4 linked regions of the Arabidopsis thaliana genome follow. The protein of the gene in region 1 interacts with the protein of each later gene in a pairwise test. Each region holds a gene or a part of one and is shown in the gene's direction. Other genes may lie near its edges. The genes, in order: NF-YC8, NF-YB5, TCP15 and NF-YB4.

Region 1 (3,205 bases):
TATATGGATTGATGGAGCTCATGTTTCTGATTCCTCTCTTGTAAGTTTAAGCTCTAGCTGTAGATCTTTAATGGAGATTGGACTGAGCAGATGTGTTGATGTGACGGATATTGGGATGATAAGTCTTGCACGCAACTGCTTAAACCTGAAAACATTAAATCTGGCGTGTTGCGGATTCGTGACGGATGTAGCCATCTCTGCTGTAGCTCAGTCTTGCCGGAATCTAGGGACTTTAAAGTTAGAGTCTTGTCATTTGATAACTGAGAAAGGTCTTCAATCGCTTGGATGTTACTCCATGCTTGTTCAAGAACTTGATCTTACTGACTGTTATGGTGTAAATGACAGAGGTAATAGAAAGATATATGTGAACTCAAACCTCCGTTTGTGTTTTAGATATTGTCATCTTTGGTATCTTACGGTTTTTTGTTCCGTTGGGACCGCAGGGCTAGAATATATCTCGAAGTGTTCGAATCTTCAAAGATTGAAACTTGGACTCTGCACAAATATCTCAGACAAAGGGATTTTCCATATTGGTTCCAAATGTTCGAAGCTTCTAGAACTTGATCTATACCGGTACACTTTCTTGGTGGATTCTTGATGAAAAATGTGCAAGACATGTTTCGTTTTCTTACTGATTTCTGGTTTTTGAGTGCAGCTGTGCCGGTTTTGGAGATGATGGTTTAGCAGCTTTATCTCGAGGTTGCAAGAGCTTGAACCGACTCATTCTATCATACTGCTGTGAACTAACTGACACCGGGGTTGAACAAATCCGGCAGCTAGAACTTCTAAGTCACCTCGAACTTCGAGGGCTAAAGAATATAACCGGTGTTGGTTTAGCAGCCATTGCGTCCGGCTGCAAGAAATTGGGTTACTTGGACGTTAAACTCTGCGAGAATATTGATGATTCGGGTTTTTGGGCGCTCGCTTACTTCTCGAAAAACCTACGACAGGTACAAAAAATAACATTTATAGATGGAGATCTGGAAGCATCTATTGGAAACATGTTTGATTCTTGTGTTGTGTGTTTTGTTTGGCAGATAAACTTGTGCAATTGCTCGGTGTCTGATACGGCTCTATGCATGTTGATGAGCAATCTGAGTCGGGTTCAAGACGTTGACTTAGTTCATCTGAGCCGTGTGACTGTAGAAGGGTTTGAGTTTGCTCTAAGAGCCTGTTGCAATAGGCTCAAGAAGCTTAAACTTCTCGCACCTCTCAGATTCTTGCTCTCATCGGAATTGCTCGAGACGCTTCATGCTCGTGGTTGCCGCATTAGATGGGACTGAAAACATAAAGAACAACGCGGTTTCTTGTGTTGGTTAGTTTATACTGTTGTAGGTTTTTGATGTTTATAATCTCAATGTTAAAAATCAGTGAAACTTTAGTAGCGGTTTGTTTTGGATCCATATAAATGAATCGGTTTAAGTGAATTGCTGCGGTAAAATATTTTGCTATAACCGGTAAAAAAGATCGGACAACGCTTAAGTAATGATTTCTAGTTAGAAAGTTGTTGATGTGTAATAGATCTATGTGATGAACTGATGATCATATGTTTTTGAAGTCTAACAGAAAGCTAAACCAATCAGATGCAACATGTAACTCCTTTGTGTTCGAGCAATGATATGAATTATGCTTTCACATTTAACATTTGAAAACATATTTTTTAACTAAATAATTCAAAATAAGTTTTGTACAGCAAAAAATTATCTTGCAATTTTATAGAGAAAATATAGTTTTGTATTTACTTTATTTCTTTTTTCTAACACTATTAATTGGTATAATATATACACTTTAAGTAAAAATAAATCACTTTCTTTTTTCTTCTTATAATAATAACCAAATAATGTTAGTCAAACAAATAATGTTAATATCATTAAATATTCTTAACAATATACTAAATGCGTTAAGATTCATTGTTGTAAAAGTTTACCTGCTTACTATCCCACCATATCTAATCTATGCTTAAGCTTTTCCTTTATATATGCAAATCTTCAAATAAAAAAATAACAAGCCTAGAACACTAGAAACTTCAAAAAAGAAAAAAATCTTATGGAGAACAACAACGGCAACAACCAGCTGCCACCGAAAGGTAACGAGCAACTGAAGAGTTTCTGGTCAAAAGAGATGGAAGGTAACTTAGATTTCAAAAATCACGACCTTCCTATAACTCGTATCAAGAAGATTATGAAGTATGATCCGGATGTGACTATGATAGCTAGTGAGGCTCCAATCCTCCTCTCGAAAGCATGTGAGATGTTTATCATGGATCTCACGATGCGTTCGTGGCTCCATGCTCAGGAAAGCAAACGAGTCACGCTACAGAAATCTAATGTCGATGCCGCAGTGGCTCAAACTGTTATCTTTGATTTCTTGCTTGATGATGACATTGAGGTAAAGAGAGAGTCTGTTGCCGCCGCTGCTGATCCTGTGGCCATGCCACCTATTGACGATGGAGAGCTGCCTCCAGGAATGGTAATTGGAACTCCTGTTTGTTGTAGTCTTGGAATCCACCAACCACAACCACAAATGCAGGCATGGCCTGGAGCTTGGACCTCGGTGTCTGGTGAGGAGGAAGAAGCGCGTGGGAAAAAAGGAGGTGACGACGGAAACTAATAAGTGGAATACGTTTTAGGGTATTTTCAAGGGAATATGTAGTAAATAGTCATGGATCTAATTTTTTTAAAGAAATAGCCATGAGATACAATGTTCTGTCGGAAACACATGTATTATTACATGTATAACCTTAGACATTGAGGGGACAATACACTATTTGGGAGCGTGATGATTCTCGGTTTGAAATTTGAAATATTCAGAAGCTAACATTATATTCATTCTCTCGCACCAAAAGTAATATATGAGAAAATAAAAATCTTGTTTTTTCTTCACACCGCAAAATATCCTCCCAAAATCTAGCGCCGTCGTTGGCGATTGCGTTCACCGTCGGTTACTCTCATCTTCTTCAATCAAGCCCAGAACTTGATTGTCTCCTTGAAACCTTCTTCTCGTTCTTGTCGCCGTTAGCAATCCAAGTATTAATTTCTGATCCTCCCCTTGCCGACGAATCTGGTAAGGTAAGCCATTGATTTTCGTTTATTTATTGCCGATCTTCTTCTATTTCTTCCTCTTTATACTTCAATTGCATAGAAATTAACGATTGTGGCCAGATCTAAAGTTTGGTTCTTTTTCCCCTCTATCTCTATCTTCTTCT
Region 2 (3,092 bases), on another chromosome or scaffold:
CAACCTTAAACCGTTTGAAACCATTTATGACGAGTCAATTTCATCTTTTGATTAGGAGGTAGAGAACCAAGTTAATGAGCAAGTAATACTAATAATTACTGTTTATAATATAGAAATGCTATGAACGTCATCATGCATCGTTCAATAATTAATTAATATCTAAAGGCGTTCAACATTTGTTTATCCGTTTCAAGGTGGTCCGATCCACCATCGGTCGACACTTGTCCTCACTTTGTTAATGATTTTACATATATGTATATGTAGCTGTAATATTTAACTAATGACTTAGGTTTTTCGGGAAAACAAATAACATAAAATAATAGCCAACATATCATACTTCTAGAACACCATGCTCTCCAAAATCTTGTAAAATCCTCTATGTAATTTATAAATCTATCTTTACATTACTTCTTTAAATAATAAATGGGAATGTTTTGCTAAACAGCTCATATTATTCTCATCCATAGTAAGGCGACAAAGCTTGTAAATGTTTTCGTCTCAATATAATGCAGAATTTACATAATGCTGTATAGCCAATCAAAATAAATTAAAGTTTAAAATATAAATAGCTAGTTAACTAACTAAATCACTGTTTTGCGGATATAAACTAAATTTCGTCTAATAATTAAATACTGGTAAAAAGTAAGTAAAAACATAAAATCACATATAAGAGGAAATATATATATATATATATATATATATATTATTAATCCAACTAGTTTTGATTTGAAAGTTCATAGAATTTAAATGGTAGTTTGATTAAAGTAGGTTATATCATCGAGATTGAGTTCTAGATGGATAAGAAAAACCTAATGTGTTGACAAAATATATATATCAAAAGTGTGGTGAAACAAAAAATTATGTATTTCCTCAGTTCGAAAATATAAAATATTTTAGTTAAAAAACGATTTTTTTTTTAAAACAACATTATTAATAAGTAGTTGAAAATATAATTCAACCAAATATTATTTATAGCCTCTTCAATTTTGGCAAGCAGACTACTAATTATAGACCACAAGACGTGCTTTTATATGGTCCACGAGTTCGATATTATCGTTTATTAAAGTGACTAGCTCTTAAGGAGGAATGTGGAATAATTGAATAATTTTTGGTTGAGGAGAGTTTCCAGACTAACTGGAGTGTGGAGTCAATCCACAGATAGACGGTATTGACTTAAGCAGGAGGACCAAAACTTCCTTTTTAGGGTAACATCAAGTACGTCATCAACCCCAAACTATTTTCGCCTTCACGTACGTTGAGGATATCATATCATATTCATTCCCAAAGGCGAGATAATTCACTACTAAAGGAATGATATATGTGTTATATATTCTTAACACATTTCAACATTATTTTGTTTGCAACACATCTTATTCTATGATTACATTTTAATTGTTTTAACTCAACCAAAAGGGTTTAGGAGAAAATAATTAGAAGAAAATTGAGAGAGAGAGAAATTAGCTAGACCTGCCACATTGTCTCCCCTGTGACCTAGACCACTCTCATTGGTTTGTATGACACGTCACCACCATTCTCTGACCAGACAAACATAGATAGATACTCCTTAATTAGCTCTCTTGCCTTTCTACTTATATATAAAGCTAATTTAACTACACAAATCTCTCTGTCAAAACGAATATTTTTTTAGATGTATACATAATAAACACATTTATGTTAAAACCTCTCCTTTTTCTGTGTGCCATATAGTTTGGCAAATTACATATCTTCGTTCTATATCATCATTCGTTGTTGTGAATCATACTGAAACGAACCCCTCACCAAACAAGATTTATAGATCCTCTGCTTTAATTATAAGATTCTGATGGCGGGGAATTATCATTCGTTCCAAAATCCAATCCCTCGATACCAGAATTACAACTTCGGGAGCAGCTCATCTAATCATCAACATGAACATGATGGGTTAGTGGTGGTGGTGGAGGATCAACAGCAAGAAGAAAGCATGATGGTAAAAGAACAAGACAGGCTACTTCCGATAGCAAACGTAGGAAGGATCATGAAGAACATCCTCCCAGCAAACGCAAAGGTCTCTAAAGAAGCCAAAGAGACTATGCAAGAATGTGTGTCCGAGTTCATTAGCTTCGTCACGGGAGAAGCATCCGATAAATGCCACAAGGAGAAGCGAAAGACCGTTAATGGAGACGATATCTGTTGGGCTATGGCTAATCTAGGGTTTGATGATTACGCCGCCCAGCTCAAGAAGTACTTACATCGTTACCGAGTTCTCGAAGGTGAGAAACCTAATCATCACGGCAAAGGAGGACCTAAATCCTCGCCAGATAATTAAAATTCTTCCATCGCTTTTTGATTTTCCTTGATTAATCTCCATGTCATCATCTTCCTCTTTAGGACCAGCTATCTTTTTCTATCTTCTCATATATTGTTCTACATATATAAATAAATTTTATGTATATGATGATATAACATGTATGTGGTGTGAGGTACTGAACAAATCTGTGTTAATTCTTCCAGCTGATTTTGTTATTTTCTATATTTTTATTTATTTACATATATTGGAGTGGAGATCGATCGATGTGTATATTATGAACCATTTTCGGGATTTTCTTTTGGTTGCTTCATTAATGCTTTTTAAACAATTTATTCAGATTTAATTAATTTTCGACTGGTATAATTAAATAAAATTAAATCGAGCATCATACAACAACACAAGTCCTGCCACAACCAACCAAACCGGTTTTTAACTGTTTACCATCTAACTTTTAAAACCGTCAATCATGAAGATGAACTAATATATCATCAACTTTGTAGATTAATTTCGACAGTGAGGATATATACTACCATGTCCCTTTCCTCTGATCTAGACTACTTAACCCTCTATATATAAGAAATCAACTTTGCAATTTCGTAGTTTGTGGAATTCTTATTCAGTTAAATCAATTGATTTCTTTCGACAAAAAGCGAAACTTAGTCGACTTTCAGTATTTAGATATATTTTTAGATTATGGCATTTGCATATAGATTATTCGCATTCATTTATCCACACTAAAATGCTAGCTATTCCGTACACATCATATAGAAAAATAAAATTTACTACTTCGATATTGTTTTCTTTA
Region 3 (4,318 bases), on another chromosome or scaffold:
ATCTTCTGATCATATTTGTGAATCGTAATTGTTTTGCTTTTTAGATTTGTCAAATATGCACAACACCTTTTAACTATCAATTCGTTTTCTTTTCTGTTTAGTCTTTGATATATAGTTTTCTTGATATTTTGATTGGTTTACTAATTACTACAAGCAGGCCGATACTTTTAGTTATTTATATTTTACGAGGGAAAATTATGGTCAATGAACATATTCTAGTTAAAACATAAAAAGATATCACATATATAAGTAATTAAAATATAAAATTTTGTCATTTGTAAATATGTTTGGGCGAAAATGTTTGGACATCCCATAGGTTTTATGTGGCTATGCGTAAAGTTTCTAATAGTTAGACTAATCAACGTTCCTAAGAGATCATCAGAACTAGTTACACCTTACACGTAACGTTAATGATTCGTCTAAACTAAGAGACGATAATTAGCCACAATAGAAAATACTATATTTTGATTTTTGAGAAGTTTTATCTTCATAAAGCTTAGACATTTGAAAAAGAATAGTAAGATTATAACAAATATATTTTACAATTTTCAATATATACTAAGAAAGATGAATTTGCCTAAACTCAAAATTAATATGTGTAAGAATTTTTATAATTGGTTTTCTCCATTTCTTTTAACAAAATCATATGTATATTCAAATATACTACCTGGCAATTATTATATGCATGCTTATGTTGGTTTATGTAATAACTTGGATTTATTTTGTTACACTCAATTTCTATAAAACACAAATTTGAGATTTTTAAAAAATATTTATTTAAAATATCTTCATAATAATTCGAATTTACTTTTATATTATTTTTTTCTTTTGTATTCTCTAATTCAATTATATTTTTAACGTTACCATATATATATATATATATATATATATATATATATTACGCTGGTCCTAATTAGTAGTATAATCTATGTAACACCGTATATTTTGATTCTTTGAACAGCTTATATGAATAATCATCACATAAGAAGGAGCCTTCTTCATCACTATTCACTACATATAAAAATTCGTTTCAGAAAAAAAAGATCAATGTTCTGTCCACATCAGAGTATCAAAATAATTTTCTAAATTTAGTGCTACATCTTTTAACGACAATTGTATGTCAATGAGATAACTCCAATGGTGGAAACAAAAGAGAAGCATTACAAATTTGCTTTTATATATCTATAAAGCACTGTAACTATGGTTTTATAAATAATAATATCAAACTGGTAACTCATTCAAGAGTCACAGAGGAGAAAAAACAATCCATCTGTTTCATAAAAAAAGCAGTTGGATTCTATTATATCATGTGGATCTCGTGAACTACCATAGAGCCATGGATTAATCACTGTCATTCTGTCAATAATAATTCTATCTATTTATTATTCTGTTGTCACATATGTACAAAATATATGTAAACTTCTCAGTTCTGTCTGAATCGCTGAAATTTTCGCTAAATGTGCAATTAATTTCCCGATCGCTTGAAGTTAACAGTTACGACGAGAAACTGACGTCACTTTTTAATTATTGTAAAGAATGAAAAAGAGTGTTCGTATAGGGTAATTGTATTATTGTAAAAAACTATGTATCCAAACACAATAAATACACGAACAACATTTATTTTCACTCACTTTGATCACTGTACGTAATAAGGAAAAACATTTTATTTGAATGAATATTTGTACAGATTGGAGAACCACGTAAGCCCATCTCTTTTATTTCCAAAAATAACGAAAAATTCTCAAAGGGAATAGTTTATAATGTAAATAAAATTCCAAAAATAAAACACAAAAGATATAAAGCAGCAAGAGAAAAAAAAAGTCCATGCTTTCATATTCATTGCTTTAATCTCTCTCTCTCTCTCAGACATAGACACAGCTAAGCTTCCCATCTGAAAGGAGTTTCATGTCCTAAGGACCATATTATAACCTCTCTATCTCTCTCTAAGTATCAGCAAAAAAACAGAGATTTATAGAGAGAGAAAAAAACTATGGCTCACATAAAGATCTAACAGAGACAGTAGTATAGTCCCACTTCCCCACCACCAAAGCTTCGATCATCATCATCATCATCATCATGGATCCGGATCCGGATCATAACCATCGACCCAACTTCCCTCTCCAGCTTCTTGATTCTTCTACCTCCTCCTCTTCCACTTCCTTAGCCATCATCTCTACTACTTCCGAACCTAACTCCGAACCTAAGAAGCCTCCTCCTAAACGAACCTCTACTAAAGACCGACACACCAAAGTCGAAGGCCGAGGCCGTCGGATCCGTATGCCTGCCATGTGTGCTGCACGTGTCTTTCAGCTCACACGTGAGCTTGGTCACAAATCCGACGGTGAAACTATTGAGTGGCTACTCCAACAAGCAGAACCAGCGGTTATAGCCGCTACAGGGACTGGAACCATTCCGGCTAACTTCACTTCTTTAAACATCTCACTTCGTAGCTCAAGATCTTCTCTCTCTGCTGCTCATCTTCGTACAACTCCTAGTAGCTATTACTTTCATTCACCACATCAGTCCATGACTCATCATCTTCAACATCAGCATCAGGTTCGTCCCAAGAACGAGTCACATTCTTCGTCTTCTTCTTCTTCACAGCTTTTAGATCACAACCAAATGGGTAACTATCTAGTACAATCAACTGCTGGATCTTTACCTACGAGTCAGAGTCCTGCAACGGCACCGTTTTGGAGTAGTGGTGACAACACACAGAATCTTTGGGCTTTTAATATTAATCCTCATCATTCCGGTGTTGTCGCCGGAGATGTTTACAACCCCAACAGTGGTGGTAGTGGCGGCGGTAGTGGAGTTCATTTGATGAATTTTGCAGCTCCTATTGCTTTGTTTTCTGGACAGCCTTTGGCTTCTGGTTATGGAGGAGGAGGAGGTGGCGGTGGAGAACATAGCCATTATGGAGTTTTAGCGGCGTTGAATGCTGCTTACCGACCGGTGGCGGAGACGGGGAACCATAACAACAACCAGCAAAACCGTGACGGAGATCATCATCACAACCATCAAGAAGATGGAAGCACCAGTCATCATTCCTAGGCAAACATACACAAACAAATATATTCTGTGAGATTTATTTTTCTTTTTTTGTCCTTTCGTTTGTTTGTTTGTTCTTAACAAGCGTGTTTTTTTTGCATTGCTTCTTTTTCATATATTTTTATTTATTTCTAAATTCTAATATTCTACGGATTTCATCTTGTTTATTTTTCTGATTAATGTATTGAGTAAGTAATTAAGAACCTGATAATCGATATGTTTTAGTTTGTGGTTTTTGCATGCAAGGCTTTGGTTTTATTATTCTAGAGATTTTTGCTTGAAGTAGTTGTCTTGTGAAATGTTTTCCTCATTACTATTGAGTGTGAGAGTTTTCTAATACTTGATTAGGGTTTTTGAACAATTTTTATATATGTATATTAATTCAGTACGGATTATCAATAAATTATTTCGCATGCCAAATTATTATCTTCCACTTCGTTCATGGTTACATTGTCTCGAAGAAGCTACATCTTATGCATTGTGAGCAATTATTCAGGTTCTAGCTATCTCTTTTAATATGTTAATTTCTTTGCATGATTAACATCTTACTCCTGACTGGTCTATTGGTGACTATGCTAAGATAATGTAGATATATATAGTAACAAAATCATATAGGTCAAAGCATTAAGTGTGATTGTTTTGGTTAATTATAAGTGTGTTGACGAGGGGATGCATTGTAGATATGATGCCATATTAATGCCAGTAGGTTTATGCGCATGGTGGTTTGGATACGTTCAATTTATAGCCGTTGCAAAAATTGAAGGCATTTAATTTTGCTAATGATATTACCAAAATTATTTGATTATGAATCAAAAGATACAAGGAGAATTATCAAAAAAAAAATATATAGGTCCATTATCCGTATAAGGTAGCTAAGAACTTAATTAGTCTGGTGCTATGTTTGAAGACTCACGTACGATTTACAATCTCTGGATCTATGAAACTCATCACCAAGCAGGAACCTGTATTTATACGTCAATATTTGTGAATTTTCGGATACCCAAAAAATACCAAGAATATATATTTCATTTTCTGCTGAAAATCAGAGAAAAATGTGTTTTAAAAACAATGTCTATAAACAAATTTATAGATTGAAGTTAGAACTAAAAACTTTTGATGGTTATAGATTTCAGCTTGATCATTTATTTCTGAAGTGTTTTCGTTGGATGAAACATAGATTATATATGTCTATAATTAATTGAGACATATACATTGATGATATACAAAATAACCAGGAATTTTTCGTTATACAGAAAAATACACAAGT
Region 4 (2,736 bases), on another chromosome or scaffold:
GATGGACTTCAAAGTTAATATTGGGCTAAAAATTGAAGGACCCATTGACGAAGAAAAAGTGAAACAAACTTAATATCAGAAAACAGAAAGCCCATATGGTTCTTCTATCATTTCAAGGCATGCAAACCGTAAAATTGTTTTCAGTTTGGGATCCGACTTGGAATTTGGAAAAGAGAATAATAAACCCACCAATACACTATGAAATGAGAATAATAAAATACTCCATGGGTTACAAAAGACAGCATTGGCGAATTATTAATTATCATGTTTAAGCATACAATATAATTAGCAAGCAAAAAATAGGAGACCGTTAACAACTTTCCAATTGAAGTGTGATGCAATTGATAAATTAAGGGCAAAAAGTGTGATGCTTTTCACAAAGAAATAAAACTTTACATACACTTTTTTTCTAATTGGTTGTGAATGGTTAAGTCAACTCAGTTTCGAAGTATGTAGAACATCTTTTTAAATCGCATAATCCGGTTTTTAATTAATGACGTATTCTAGGTTTTTTTTTTTAAGTGCGTATATTCTAAGTTCTTACGTAAATATATGTCTTTAAAAAGATTATAATGATTAGTTAAGCCTCTCTATACCATGAATAAAGTGCAGAATGTAAAGGAAATGCTCTAAGAACTCCAAAAAAAAAAAAAAAGAAGAAGAAGGAAATGCCTGAAACTTTCCATCTTTCCGTTAATAGACTAGCAAGAACTCGAACAAAATGTGTGTTCACACATCTTCTACGATATTTTTTCCCAAACGAAAGGTTTATCATTTTCCCCAAAAATTAGGATACATATTCGACTAGAGACGTTCACCTACGATCACCAATTCATTAGGAATTCTTGATTATACAAAATATTATAAAATCATTATATTTAGACAATCCAAATCCAAATCCACAAGATACAAAATCGTGATAGTTTGACGTTTCATAATGCCTCATGTGGCTTACAATATGCTTAGGGTTTGAACCCATATCTAAAATGCACATGCTCTTAGTATATAAACCAATGACTTGGCCAATATAGACCCATTGAATATTTGTATTGGTTAACTTCTAACGACGAAATTTCTCAATATTTTGTTTTTAGCTATTGCCTTTTATATAGATTTGGTGAATTTTTGCGCAGTATTGCTAATAATTAAATAAGTATTTATTTTTAAAACATATTAAAACCAAAGGTCAAATGCATGCGAGTGGCCGTACTGGATTATGCGGATTACGTGCCTCGAATTTCATATTTTCTATAATACAATTAAGGTTTTGACATTCCATAAGCCAACCATTGCTTCATCAAGAATAATTTCTTTTACCAAAGTAGCTACGCTCTAATCAAAATTAAAGTTAAGATTTAATTTTAGATATTAATTTAGTATTAACTTGTCATATACAGTACTGTACGTAGATATCCGTATGTATTAGACGGATTGATGATGCATATGGATCAAAGCTAAGCCACAATCACCAAACAGGTATAAACGATTCTGCTATAGCTTATATAAGCTTAATTCACATACATATATACAGAGAGAATCTTAGACATATATTATATATATAGTATGTAATAAATTAAGAGTAGGTTCAAGTAGTACATCTACTCATCATACACATACACACCCTATATAATCTATATATAGAGAGAGGGAGGGTCATATAGGACAACTTGTATAAAAAGGTTATAAGAGAAGCGAGAGCTGATAGATTCACTGAAACAAAAGAGAAAAATGACAGACGAAGATAGATTGTTGCCAATAGCCAATGTAGGGAGACTTATGAAGCAAATCCTACCATCAAATGCAAAGATCTCAAAAGAAGCAAAACAAACAGTTCAAGAATGTGCAACAGAGTTCATAAGCTTTGTTACATGCGAAGCATCAGAGAAGTGCCACAGGGAGAATCGGAAGACGGTGAATGGAGACGACATCTGGTGGGCTCTCAGCACTCTCGGCCTCGATAACTATGCTGACGCCGTGGGTAGGCATCTTCACAAGTACCGTGAAGCCGAGAGAGAAAGAACTGAGCACAACAAAGGTAGCAATGATAGTGGGAATGAGAAAGAAACCAACACTAGAAGTGATGTACAGAACCAATCGACAAAATTTATTAGAGTTGTTGAGAAGGGAAGCAGCTCCTCGGCCCGTTGAACTAGACATCTAAGTTCTGAATTATTTACTATGAAGCCAAGAAAGATCTGTAGAGAGACCAGAAGGATTCAATAATGTCAATGTTGAATCATTAATACAATGTACATGTTTGTAATTGATTTCTAAACATGAGTTTCTACATACATATATATAAATCTATGATATTTCTTCTTGCAAGCAAATAACGTGTAATTTAGACTTAGAATATTGGTCGGTTCGAACAATAGGAAGAGGAGAAGATAGCAGAAACAAGGTACTAGCAAGATGATTTTGGTTTTCTTTTTCCTTTTGGTATATATATCACCGCATAGGTCGATCCAAGGCTTTCCATAAACATAATAGGCCAAAAAATAAGAGCTTTTTGTATATCTTACCGCATATATCCATTGATGGATCTGTTACAGTGGCTAGAACAATGATATTTTTTAATCCCCATATGCCTAATGGCCTTCTGGAGCCTGAGGCTAGTGTTAACCAAAATAAAGGAGCATTGGGACTTGACCATTTAAAATGAAATCCTAAAGAAGTCAGAAAGTAATTAGTTCACATTAAAGGAGAAGGAAGCTTAGAAAGTTGACACTTGCCAGA

What was found.
Region 2: the proteins of NF-YC8 (region 1) and NF-YB5 interact in binary tests that used the Arabidopsis thaliana proteins (3 or more experiments, as listed by UniProt).
Region 3: the proteins of NF-YC8 (region 1) and TCP15 interact in binary tests that used the Arabidopsis thaliana proteins (3 or more experiments, as listed by UniProt).
Region 4: the proteins of NF-YC8 (region 1) and NF-YB4 interact in binary tests that used the Arabidopsis thaliana proteins (3 or more experiments, as listed by UniProt).

What each region holds. Positions count from the first base shown.
Region 1 is NC_003076.8:9,940,141-9,943,345, reverse strand, and holds NF-YC8 (nuclear factor Y, subunit C8), read left to right. Parts: upstream 1-1,898; 5' UTR 1,899-2,046; coding exon 2,047-2,610; 3' UTR 2,611-2,677; downstream 2,678-3,205. Other genes in the region: AT5G27920 (F-box family protein), read left to right, coding at 1-347, 444-573, 656-950, 1,038-1,283. UniProt on the Arabidopsis thaliana protein: Stimulates the transcription of various genes by recognizing and binding to a CCAAT motif in promoters.
Region 2 is NC_003071.7:19,582,151-19,585,242, reverse strand, and holds NF-YB5 (nuclear factor Y, subunit B5), read left to right. Parts: upstream 1-1,624; 5' UTR 1,625-1,822; coding exon 1,823-2,305; 3' UTR 2,306-2,585; downstream 2,586-3,092. UniProt on the Arabidopsis thaliana protein: Component of the NF-Y/HAP transcription factor complex. The NF-Y complex stimulates the transcription of various genes by recognizing and binding to a CCAAT motif in promoters.
Region 3 is NC_003070.9:26,214,373-26,218,690, forward strand, and holds TCP15 (TCP family transcription factor), read left to right. Parts: upstream 1-1,636; 5' UTR 1,637-2,076; coding exon 2,077-3,054; 3' UTR 3,055-3,699; downstream 3,700-4,318. UniProt on the Arabidopsis thaliana protein: Transcription factor involved the regulation of plant development. Together with TCP14, modulates plant stature by promoting cell division in young internodes. Represses cell proliferation in developing leaf blade and specific floral tissues.
Region 4 is NC_003070.9:2,908,023-2,910,758, reverse strand, and holds NF-YB4 (nuclear factor Y, subunit B4), read left to right. Parts: upstream 1-1,726; 5' UTR 1,727-1,728; coding exon 1,729-2,148; downstream 2,149-2,736. UniProt on the Arabidopsis thaliana protein: Component of the NF-Y/HAP transcription factor complex. The NF-Y complex stimulates the transcription of various genes by recognizing and binding to a CCAAT motif in promoters.